Linked DNA regions of Oryza sativa Japonica Group. Each later gene encodes a partner of the first gene's protein in a complex. Links are inferred from orthologs where the notes say so. Each region holds a gene or a part of one and is shown on either strand. Other genes may lie near its edges.

What was found. The genes of interacting proteins can lie anywhere in the genome.
Region 2: small ribosomal subunit protein cS23 (region 1) and rps8 share a complex: the UniProt entries of both Arabidopsis thaliana proteins name them as parts of the 30S ribosomal subunit. The link is inferred for Oryza sativa Japonica Group from reciprocal best matches to the Arabidopsis thaliana genes PSRP3/1 and rps8.
Region 3: small ribosomal subunit protein cS23 (region 1) and small ribosomal subunit protein uS13c share a complex: the UniProt entries of both Arabidopsis thaliana proteins name them as parts of the 30S ribosomal subunit. The link is inferred for Oryza sativa Japonica Group from reciprocal best matches to the Arabidopsis thaliana genes PSRP3/1 and EMB3137.

What each region holds. Positions count from the first base shown.
Region 1 is NC_089038.1:23,520,254-23,523,736, forward strand, and holds small ribosomal subunit protein cS23, read left to right. Parts: upstream 1-1,324; 5' UTR 1,325-1,376; coding exon 1,377-1,646; intron 1,647-2,490; coding exon 2,491-2,772; 3' UTR 2,773-2,934; downstream 2,935-3,483. Other genes in the region: transcription factor MYB106, read left to right, coding at 1-357. UniProt on the Arabidopsis thaliana protein: Component of the chloroplast ribosome (chloro-ribosome), a dedicated translation machinery responsible for the synthesis of chloroplast genome-encoded proteins, including proteins of the transcription and translation machinery and components of the photosynthetic apparatus.
Region 2 is NC_001320.1:76,096-78,387, reverse strand, and holds rps8 (ribosomal protein S8), read left to right. Parts: upstream 1-1,279; coding exon 1,280-1,690; downstream 1,691-2,292. Other genes in the region: rpl16 (ribosomal protein L16), read left to right, coding at 258-659; rpl14 (ribosomal protein L14), read left to right, coding at 769-1,140; infA (translation initiation factor 1), read left to right, coding at 1,827-2,150; rpl36 (ribosomal protein L36), read left to right, coding at 2,262-2,292. UniProt on the Arabidopsis thaliana protein: One of the primary rRNA binding proteins, it binds directly to 16S rRNA central domain where it helps coordinate assembly of the platform of the 30S subunit.
Region 3 is NC_089037.1:29,173,560-29,177,553, forward strand, and holds small ribosomal subunit protein uS13c, read left to right. Parts: upstream 1-1,490; 5' UTR 1,491-1,584; coding exon 1,585-1,683; intron 1,684-2,377; coding exon 2,378-2,617; intron 2,618-3,000; coding exon 3,001-3,177; 3' UTR 3,178-3,392; downstream 3,393-3,994. Other genes in the region: uncharacterized membrane protein At4g09580, read left to right, coding at 43-174. UniProt on the Arabidopsis thaliana protein: Located at the top of the head of the 30S subunit, it contacts several helices of the 16S rRNA.

The sequences.
Region 1 (3,483 bases):
ACCGTGCTGGAGGCGCACGGCGCCGCCGCCGCGGCGGCCGCGCGCGCCGCCATGCAGCCCATGCAGGCGTACGACGAGGCGTGCAAGGACCAGCACTGGGGCGACGTCGACGCCGCCGACGTGGGCTTCCCCGGCGCCGGAGCGGGGTTCACGGGCCTACTCCTCGAAGGCTCCTTGAACCAGATCCCGAGGCCGGCGGGGAGAGACGCGGAAGCCGACGGCGAGTTCCAGGAGACCGAGGAGGAGAAGAACTACTGGAACAGCATACTGAACCTGGTGAACTCCTCGTCGGCACCTATGTCGACGGCCGTGGTTGTGCCCGCCTCCCACGCGTACTCGCCGGCGCCGGACTTCTGAGCGGAGAAAACCTCGCCGGCATCAAACTTGATTCGATCTCATGACACAGTAAATAGTTTAGCAATGATTGTCGAATAAGATGGGACTAATATTAATGTTAGTAATTATTAATCACGTTCTTGGGTTAACCTGACAATGCTTTCGATTAAACTTGTGGGCAAGAACTTCAACTGTTCAAGGCTGTATCGACATTTGAAATTCGATGCTTGTTTTGTTCGGTGTTCTTATAGAATGTGTAAAACACTGAAACTACTATCAGAGAATGTAGCATCCTTACTTGCAAAGTTACTACTCCTGCTTGTTTTTTTTCAAAACTTACGATCATTTCAGTACTTTGTACCCGGTTCATTTCATTCCACTATCAGTTTTTACTACGCCCAAGCGGTTGGCAACTGGGCACTAGCACTACTGAAGGCCAGGGTTTCCCAAACCACCGGACCGGGGTTACCACACGGTAACCGTGTAAAATTTATCAAAATTTAAAATTATTTTTTAAATTTATTTGAATTTAAGGGGGTTACCGCGGTTTCCCTTTTACCGTACCCCACGGTAAGCGCGGTAATCGCACGGTTACAGACGGTTTTGCAAACCCTGCTGAAGGCAAACGGACGGCCTCATCTTTTCGCTTATACTTATGTTTATCAGTCAAAATTTAAATTTTTACCTTTAAATTTGGGGTTGATTTTATTTTTTTTATCGAAGGTTTATTTTTCAGTCTTTGCTTTTAGATCGTTAAAAATATATATATAAAAGATTTATTCACAAATTATTTTTTATTTACAAATATGCCATTTCGTTTATTCTCGAATAACCGAGACGATTGAGCTGTGAGCTTTTTACTTAGATTGGATCTGGGCCGGGCCGTTTTGTGCTGGGCCATATTGGGCTTTACCATAACTTTCTAGCCCACATCTAATAGCTGACGAGAAGGGGATTATTAAGGGTAAAGATAAGAGGAGGCAGCCCCGCACCATCGTCTTCCTCCTCTTATCCGCACAGGAGCCTCGGACTCGGACACGATGCTGGCGATGTCCGTCCACCCCGCCGCCACGCCGGCCCTCGCCTCGCGCGCCCGCATCTCCCGGCCCAAGCTTTCCGCCGCCTCCCCCTGCACCACCTCCTCCTCCTCCACTCCACGCCTCGTCCACCTCGGCAGCAGGAGGCTTCCCCTTCGCTCGCTCCGTGGCCTCGCCGCCGCCGCCGCTTCTGGCGCCGTCGAAGCGGAGGAGGGAGAAGAGGAGAAGCAAGTCGGAGGTGGGGATGCGAGCGCCGGCGAGGAAGCGCAGGAGGTAATGGGCTAGTAGCCGCTCCAAACCATGCCAGTGACTGAAATTACGGGGTTTTTTTTTTTACCGAGTCGAGCTCAATTTCAGAAGGAAGTGTTGTTTTTTGAAGAGGATGGAGTTCAATCACATTTGGTTTCGCATGAATTTGATTTTTCTTGAATCAATTTTGGTTACCGAACTGATTACTTGAGCTCATAGGTGAAATACAGTACGAGGTGTACATTTGGGTGAATTCACGAGTAGAGTAAATCTTTAGACACAATGCACAGCTGAAAGCTTAAGAGAAGTCACAAGTAGAGTAAATTAGAGAAGTTCTAGTCTAGTTGAGCATGTTTGGGCACTCGGGCTGTCCTTTTGGTGCAGTTTTGCACTTCTGCAGATAAAAGGTGTATGCTAGTGATGAAGAGGCGAAGAGCACATGAAAGCATGTCCACAAACTTGAGCGTGTGCCATTTTTGGTTGTATGTGTAAGCAAGAACTGAACTATTGAACAAACTGTAGCATTGACAGGTTTTGGTCATGAAAGGAGTTTTTTTTCATTCAGCTATTTACGTGATTATGTAACAACATTAACAGGCACAATAAGTTCCTTTTTCATCACTATATCAGATTTCAGAGATGTACACTAAAAGTGGATTAGTTTTGATTATATGGGAGTTACCCTCACAGTTGAAAAATGGGGCCTTTTGTAGAGAAATGAAGTTGTCAATGGAACACGTACAGTAGTTGTTGCAATTTATTTTACTACGACTTGAGCTGTGTTAAAACTGCACAATTTATTTTACTCAGATATGCAAAATCAGTATTAGCATTATGAGATTTGAAACGAATTGATTTTGTATCGCAGTACAAGGTTAAGGTGCCTGAAAGGCAGGATCCAATGCTTGTTCTGAAGTTCATATGGATGGAGAAGAACATTGGCATAGCCCTCGACCAGTTGGTTCCCGGCTATGGCAGCATTCCGTTAAGCCCATACTACTTCTGGCCACGGAAAGATGCCTGGGAGGAGCTAAGAGCAAAGCTGGAGGAGAAAGAGTGGATCTCTCAGAAACAGATGATCATCCTTCTGAATCAGGCCACTGATATCATCAACCTTTGGCAACAGGGTGGTGGCAGCTTGTCAACCTAAGAGGATATCTCAATTCTCCCATCCTTGAGAACCTTGTTTCTTTTTTTCTTGCTTTGGTTACACGGATCTTTGTTGTTACATGACCCTGTAGATCGATTCAAACTGTTTTCGGATACGGTTTTGTTTATGGAAATGAATTGTGATTGATCTCTGTAAGGTAAACGATTTGGGCTCCATCATCCGCAGGGAAGATTGCTAATACCTCTTGATACTACTATACCATGATCCAGTTAAATAAATGTAACTCGATATTTTGAACTTGAAGAAAAAGGGGAATTTCTTTTCTTTCGAAGAGATTTGGGGTCACGGGGGCATATACCCCTTCTACTGCGATTAACTAACACCGGTGATGCCCTGAAAAAGCCCGGCCCGCTCCGCGCACCACGAGCCTAGGCCGTCCACGCGTAGGCCTCTGCAAAACGGGCTGCGGCAACGCGTGAGCCTGTGCGAAACGAGCGTGAAAACGCTCGTGGACTCGTGGAGTCGTCGTGGTGCCCGCGCGTCGTGCTGCGACGCTCGTTCTCACGCCGCATGCAGCGCCGCGCCAGCTTGGTCACGGTCTCAAAAGCGTTCAAAAGGCATGGGAGCAACTGAGCAAGGCGTAGCAGCTTATCATCATCTCGGCCAAGGGGGGAGGAGGGGCAAGGCACATGGAGGCGTTGGGTTGGAGTTGGACCTCCTAGGTAGGGAAGCAGGAAGCTGGACTCGCTA
Region 2 (2,292 bases), on another chromosome or scaffold:
GATAAATAAACATACACATCTAGATATATTCTAGATCCTCTTTCTTGACTATATATTTTAGTATTTTAATAAATTCAATATTAAAAACCCTAACCTTTCCTATTAATGTGTATCTATCCGTAATATTTTAGAATATTGTGGAATTAGAGAAATTTGGCACACTTTCTCATTTGATTCGCGAGGAGCTGGATGAGAAGAAACTCTCATGTCCAGTTTTGCAGTAGAGATGGAACTAAGAGAGAACCATCGACTATAACCCCAAAAGAACCAGATTTCGTAAACAACATAGAGGAAGAATGAAGGGAAAATCCTACCGAGGCAATTGTATTTGTTTTGGTAGATATGCTCTTCAAGCACTTGAACCCACTTGGATTACGGCGAGGCAGATAGAAGCAGGACGAAGAGCAATGACACGATATGCACGTCGTGGTGGAAAAATCTGGGTACGTATATTTCCCGACAAACCGGTTACAATAAGACCGACCGAAACACGTATGGGTTCGGGAAAGGGATCCCCCGAATATTGGGTAGCCGTTGTTAAACCAGGTCGAATACTTTATGAAATGGGCGGAGTATCCGAAACTGTAGCTAGACGAGCTATTTCCATAGCTGCCAGCAAAATGCCCATACGAAGTCAATTTCTTCGGTTAGAAATATAACCCCCCAAAAAAAGTAGTATTGAAAATAAAAAACCAGGTTCTTCTTTCTGGAAAGACAATATTTCTTTCATCCTTTTGCATTGAAATAACAAATTGAAATCAAAATAATATGATTCAACCTCAGACCCTTTTAAATGTAGCAGATAACAGTGGAGCTCGAAAATTGATGTGTATTCGAGTCATAGGAGCTGCTAGTAATCAGCGATATGCTCGTATTGGTGATGTTATTGTTGCTGTAATCAAAGACGCAGTGCCCCAAATGCCTCTAGAAAGATCCGAAGTAATTCGAGCTGTAATTGTACGTACATGTAAAGAGTTCAAATGCGAAGACGGTATAATAATACGCTATGACGACAATGCAGCGGTTATCATTGATCAAAAAGGAAATCCAAAAGGAACTCGCGTTTTTGGCGCGATCGCCGAGGAATTGAGAGAATTGAATTTTACTAAAATAGTTTCATTAGCTCCTGAAGTATTATAAATACTAGTAGACAAGATATAGATCAAATAAAAAATTAGTAGATTGTGTTTCACGTATATGCTTTAGAATCCAAAACGAAAAGAAAAAAGAGAACATGTTGATTATAGAAAAATTAGGAGGAACCTAGAATTAGAGTCTTATGGGCAAGGACACTATTGCTGATTTACTAACCTCTATAAGAAACGCGGACATGAATAAAAAAGGAACTGTTCGGGTAGTATCTACAAATATTACCGAAAACATTGTTAAAATACTTCTACGAGAGGGTTTTATTGAAAGTGTTCGGAAACATCAGGAAAGTAACAGATATTTCTTGGTTTCAACTTTGCGACATCAAAAGAGAAAGACTAGAAAGGGAATATATAGAACTAGAACCTTTTTAAAGCGTATCAGCCGACCTGGCTTACGAATTTATGCCAACTATCAAGGAATTCCTAAGGTTTTGGGCGGAATGGGAATTGCTATTCTTTCTACTTCTCGAGGTATAATGACAGATCGAGAAGCTCGACTAAACAGAATTGGGGGAGAAGTCTTATGTTATATATGGTAATCGCCCGCCTATAGCGGTAATCGCCCCACCTATAGTTATAGTACCCAAATTCTATCTTGAACTTCCTATTTTTCAAACAAAAATACAACGTTTTTTTATTTGAAAATAAAAAAAGAAAAATAGGAGAAAAAAAAATATGACAGAAAAGAAAAATAGGAGAGAAAAAAAAAACCCGAGAGAAGCAAAAATTACTTTCGAGGGTTTAGTTATGGAAGCCCTACCCAACGGAATGTTCCGCGTTCGCCTAGAGAATGACACCATCATCCTGGGCTATATTTCAGGAAAGATCCGGTCTAGTTCTATACGAATACTGATGGGGGATAGGGTCAAAATTGAAGTAAGTCGTTATGATTCAAGCAAGGGGCGTATAATTTATAGACTTCCCCATAAGGATTCGAAGCGTACCGAAGACTCGAAGGATACCGAAGATTTGAAGGATACCAAAGATTCAAAGGGTTAGGTTTTTCTTTTTTTTTTCTAGGGTAAAAAATTCAAAGTTCTAAAATTCAAACAAAGAGACTTATTTTTTCCAAAAGAGTAAATTCATAGTTTAAGAAAGGAATACGGAAATATGAAAATAAGAGCTTCTGTTCGTAAAATTT
Region 3 (3,994 bases), on another chromosome or scaffold:
CCATTTTATCTACTCATCACCATTCTTACTGCTGTCTTGCAGGCTGGTAGGGCACTAGGCGATCTAAGATCACTTAGGGAACTGTATGACTCAAAAACACTAGTAATTCTATTCCTCATTGGAACTGTTGCTGTTGCTCCAACGATTCTGAAAAGGAAGAGAATATACGAATGATGCCACTAAAAAGCATCTAAACAGTGTATTAGTAGAGCACTCCAGAAGTGTATTAGTTTTTTTTCCCTTTCTTTGTTGATATTGTATACCTATTCAATTTAGCTGTAGAGATGTAGTAGTAACATGATGAATGTTTTCCTCAATAATAGATGACGCTAAGCTGTTGCATCTGTTGCCCCAATGTTCTTATAAATCCCCACGTCCCAATTAACGATGCGGTGGAACTATCTGGTTGTTGTGGTTTTACAGTAAATCTTACTGCTCCCAATTGGATGGGCAACCTTATCCGTCGTTTTGAAATGATGTGTTATTTGCCACCAATTGTCCTATTATCTCCATTTATTTTATTTTCACTTGAGACATTTCTGCAAGATGATATTCAGAACGTTCCCCACAGATTATCCTAATACAAAATGCAATACGAATTAAACTTACATTTAGTAGTACCTAAACTGTTACATCTAGGATTATAAACGTGCTGAAATTCTTTATCCTCCCACAAAAACCCCAGAAATTTATATTCAGAGGAAGCTTATGCAGTTCTTTATCCTCCCACAAAAACCCCAGAAATTTATATTCAGAAGAAGCTTATGCAGCATAGCTGATCCTAAAGGCTACAACATATTCTTCTTTTTTTCCTAGAGAGAGGAGAATATTTTCTTTCGTGTTTACTCCCTCCATCTTAAAAAAAAGCTTAAAAAAAAGAAAGTCAGGAACATAACTTAAAAAAGCTTTAAAAAAAAAGAAAGTCAGGAACATAACTTAAGACTGTGTTCGGGAGGAACTCACCTCTCGCGCACGTAAAACGGAGCGAAGCATTTTCTTATGATTAATTAAGTATTTATTAATTGTTTTTGAAAAATGATTTTTTAAAAGCAACTTTTGTGTAGAAATCTTTAAAAAAACACATCGTTTAACCGTTTGAAAAGCGTGCATGCAGAACACAAGGGAGATGTGTTGGAAAAAGTGGGAAAAGAACACAGCCTAGTACTAACTTAATAGCCTAGTACTAACTTAGGGTGTGTTTAGTTCACGCTAAAATTGGAAGCTTGATTGAAATTAGAACGATGTGACAGAAAAGTTGGAAGTTTATGTGTGTAGGAAAGTTTTGATGTGATGTAAAAGTTGGAAGTTTGAAGAAAAAAATTGCAACTACGGCGTTATCTAGATATGGAGTACTCCTAGCTTGTTCTTTTTTCTTTTTCTTTTTTTAACAGAAGGAGTAAACTAGCGACTTGACCTGTTTGGGCCGTACCCTGCAAGGCCCAACCCAAGAAGTCGCCGATACAGTGGTAGCCTACAGGTGCGGCTACCTTATCGGCTTCCTTCCCGTTGGGTTCTATCCGAGACAGCACCGAGAGCTCCGGGAGAGAAGCGCACGCACCTCCGTCCCTCGTCGGGAGCGCAGAAATGGCGACCCTCTCGATGGTCTCCGTCCCCATCGCCACCTCCTCCCTGCCCCTCTCCGCCCGAGGCCGCAGCTCCTCCGTCTCCTTCCCCGTTCCCAAGGTGAGAAGCAAAGCCACCCCTCCCCCCGCCTCCCCCCTCCGCGCCCACTTCTTGTTCGGCCATTTGCTCGCTCGTCCTGTTCCTTGGTTCTGTGCGATTGATATGTGATTCACGCATGACGCATCGTACATCCGTATCACTTATTGCAACTCAACCCCTGGGATCGTTTTGTTATCTTTGCCATCTTGGAGGTTGGGGAGGCTAGTGGCCGTGCTTTGTGTACTACAGTACTAATTTTGAGTATGTGCAATTCAGTAGTTTTTTTTCCGTGATGTTGGAAGAACAGTGTTCCTGTGCAATTTTAGAATTATTGGCATCTGTGAGGAACTAGTATTTATATGCTTGTATGCTTATGAGTTTGAATCTCTGCCCCTAGCACATATCATGTTGGAAGAATGGATAGTGTTACGAAGTAGTATTTCTTTGGACAGCAGAGTGTATATGTAATTCATGTAGGGACTAGGAATAGCAAAGAAGGTTAATTATGCATATAGGATGTAAAAAGAATCGTAATTCCTTGTTAGTACTCCCTCAGTTTCATACTATAAGTAGTCAAAGTTCTTTAGGTTTGACCAAGTTTAAAGAAAAAATTTCCCCACCCCATTATCTTTACTTGCCCAGTCATTTGTAGGCCTGTGCTTTTAACTGTGTTGTGGTTTTGATTCTTTTTTTTTTATTATTGGGTACTGGACAGAAAGGGGGTATTGGTCATGGTGGCCTGCGGATCGAGTGCATTCGTATTGGTGGAGTGGAGATCCCGAACCACAAGAGGGTAGAGTACTCACTGCAGTACATCCATGGCATTGGGCGGTCACGCTCCCGTCAGATCCTCTTGGACCTCAATTTTGACAACAAGGTCACAAAGGACCTCTCCGAGGAGGAAGTCATCACTCTCCGTAAGGAGGTTACCAAGTACATGATTGAGGGAGACCTTGTAATGGCCCTATCCCTTGCTAATTCATCACTTAACTTTTTTTCTGTAATTTTGGTGATTAGTATGGTTACCCTACTTTGGTACTTCCTCCGTTTCACAATATAAGTCATTCTAGCATTTCCCACATTCATATTGATACTAATAAATCTAGATAGATATATATGTCTAGATTCATTAGCATCAATATGAATGTGGTAAATGTTAGAATGACTTACATTGTGAAACGGAGGGAGTAGCATGTTGAAGATTCCTTGAAATTTGGTACCCTTAAACTGATCGTTCTGAAAAAAAAAAGACTCTGTAGTTCTTTTCCCATTTCTGTCATCGTGGATTTATGTTGTGTTGCTAAAATAGAGTTCTGATGTGTTTGCCATGCTTTACAGAAACGGTTTAATCGTGTGGCGATTGAGAGGTTGAAGGAGATTAGGTGTTACAGGGGCATCCGCCACAAGCTAGGGCTGCCAGTTCGTGGACAGAGGACGAAGAACAATTGCAGGACGCTGAAGGGAAGGAGGGCTTCTGTTGCGAAGAAGAAGTCGCCTGCTTCCCAGGAGGAATAAGACACATTGCCATGTATTTACCTTTGGTTCTTTGCCTCTTGTTTATTTTTTGTGTTCTGCTTGACCACGCTCTTGTCTGGTATTATGAGATTTTATGTTGGTGTCGTCATAGATGAATCACGGGTTGTGATCTGTCACTGAAAAAGTTATATTTGTCACCTGTCTTACATGAACTGATGCTAAATTAAGGTTATACTATGTTTTTCAGTCCATCATCTTGCTGTCTCTCTTCTGTTGTCATATCTATGCTTGACCGACCTGTTCCTGATGAATTAACGTATCGCCAGTTTTCTGTCCATTTGTTCCACATGCCACCGTCAGATCTAATGCCTTGTTAACTTTACAAGCTGAAAGAGGAGTATCAGTGTAGCTGAATAATAATATTAGGAACCTGCCTTGCTGATAGCAGCAGACGGGGCTTTTAACTATTTGCCACTCTTACGAATGGTGCTTAACGATTTGCTACTAGACCCACATGTCATAGACACATGAGGGCCCACATGTTATTGGCAGGGTGTGGCAAATCGTTAATTGCCATGTCACAAGAGTGGCAAATAGTTAAATTTCCCGCAGCGGACACCAGTCGAGATTTTGGTTTTTTGTGAAGAGATGATTTAAACTTGAGTTACCAATTACCATGATTACCATGCGTGTGGTTGGAACATGGAACTTTCTGGAGAGAGCTGCTCGGCTCAATCTTGGCTTGTTCACTTTGTTGTCCAAATCAACCATACCAAATTTTGTTACATTTCGGTACTACTGGCTTTGTTTGGTTTGATATCTTACCAAATTTTGGTAGAGGTTTAAGAGGAAGCTT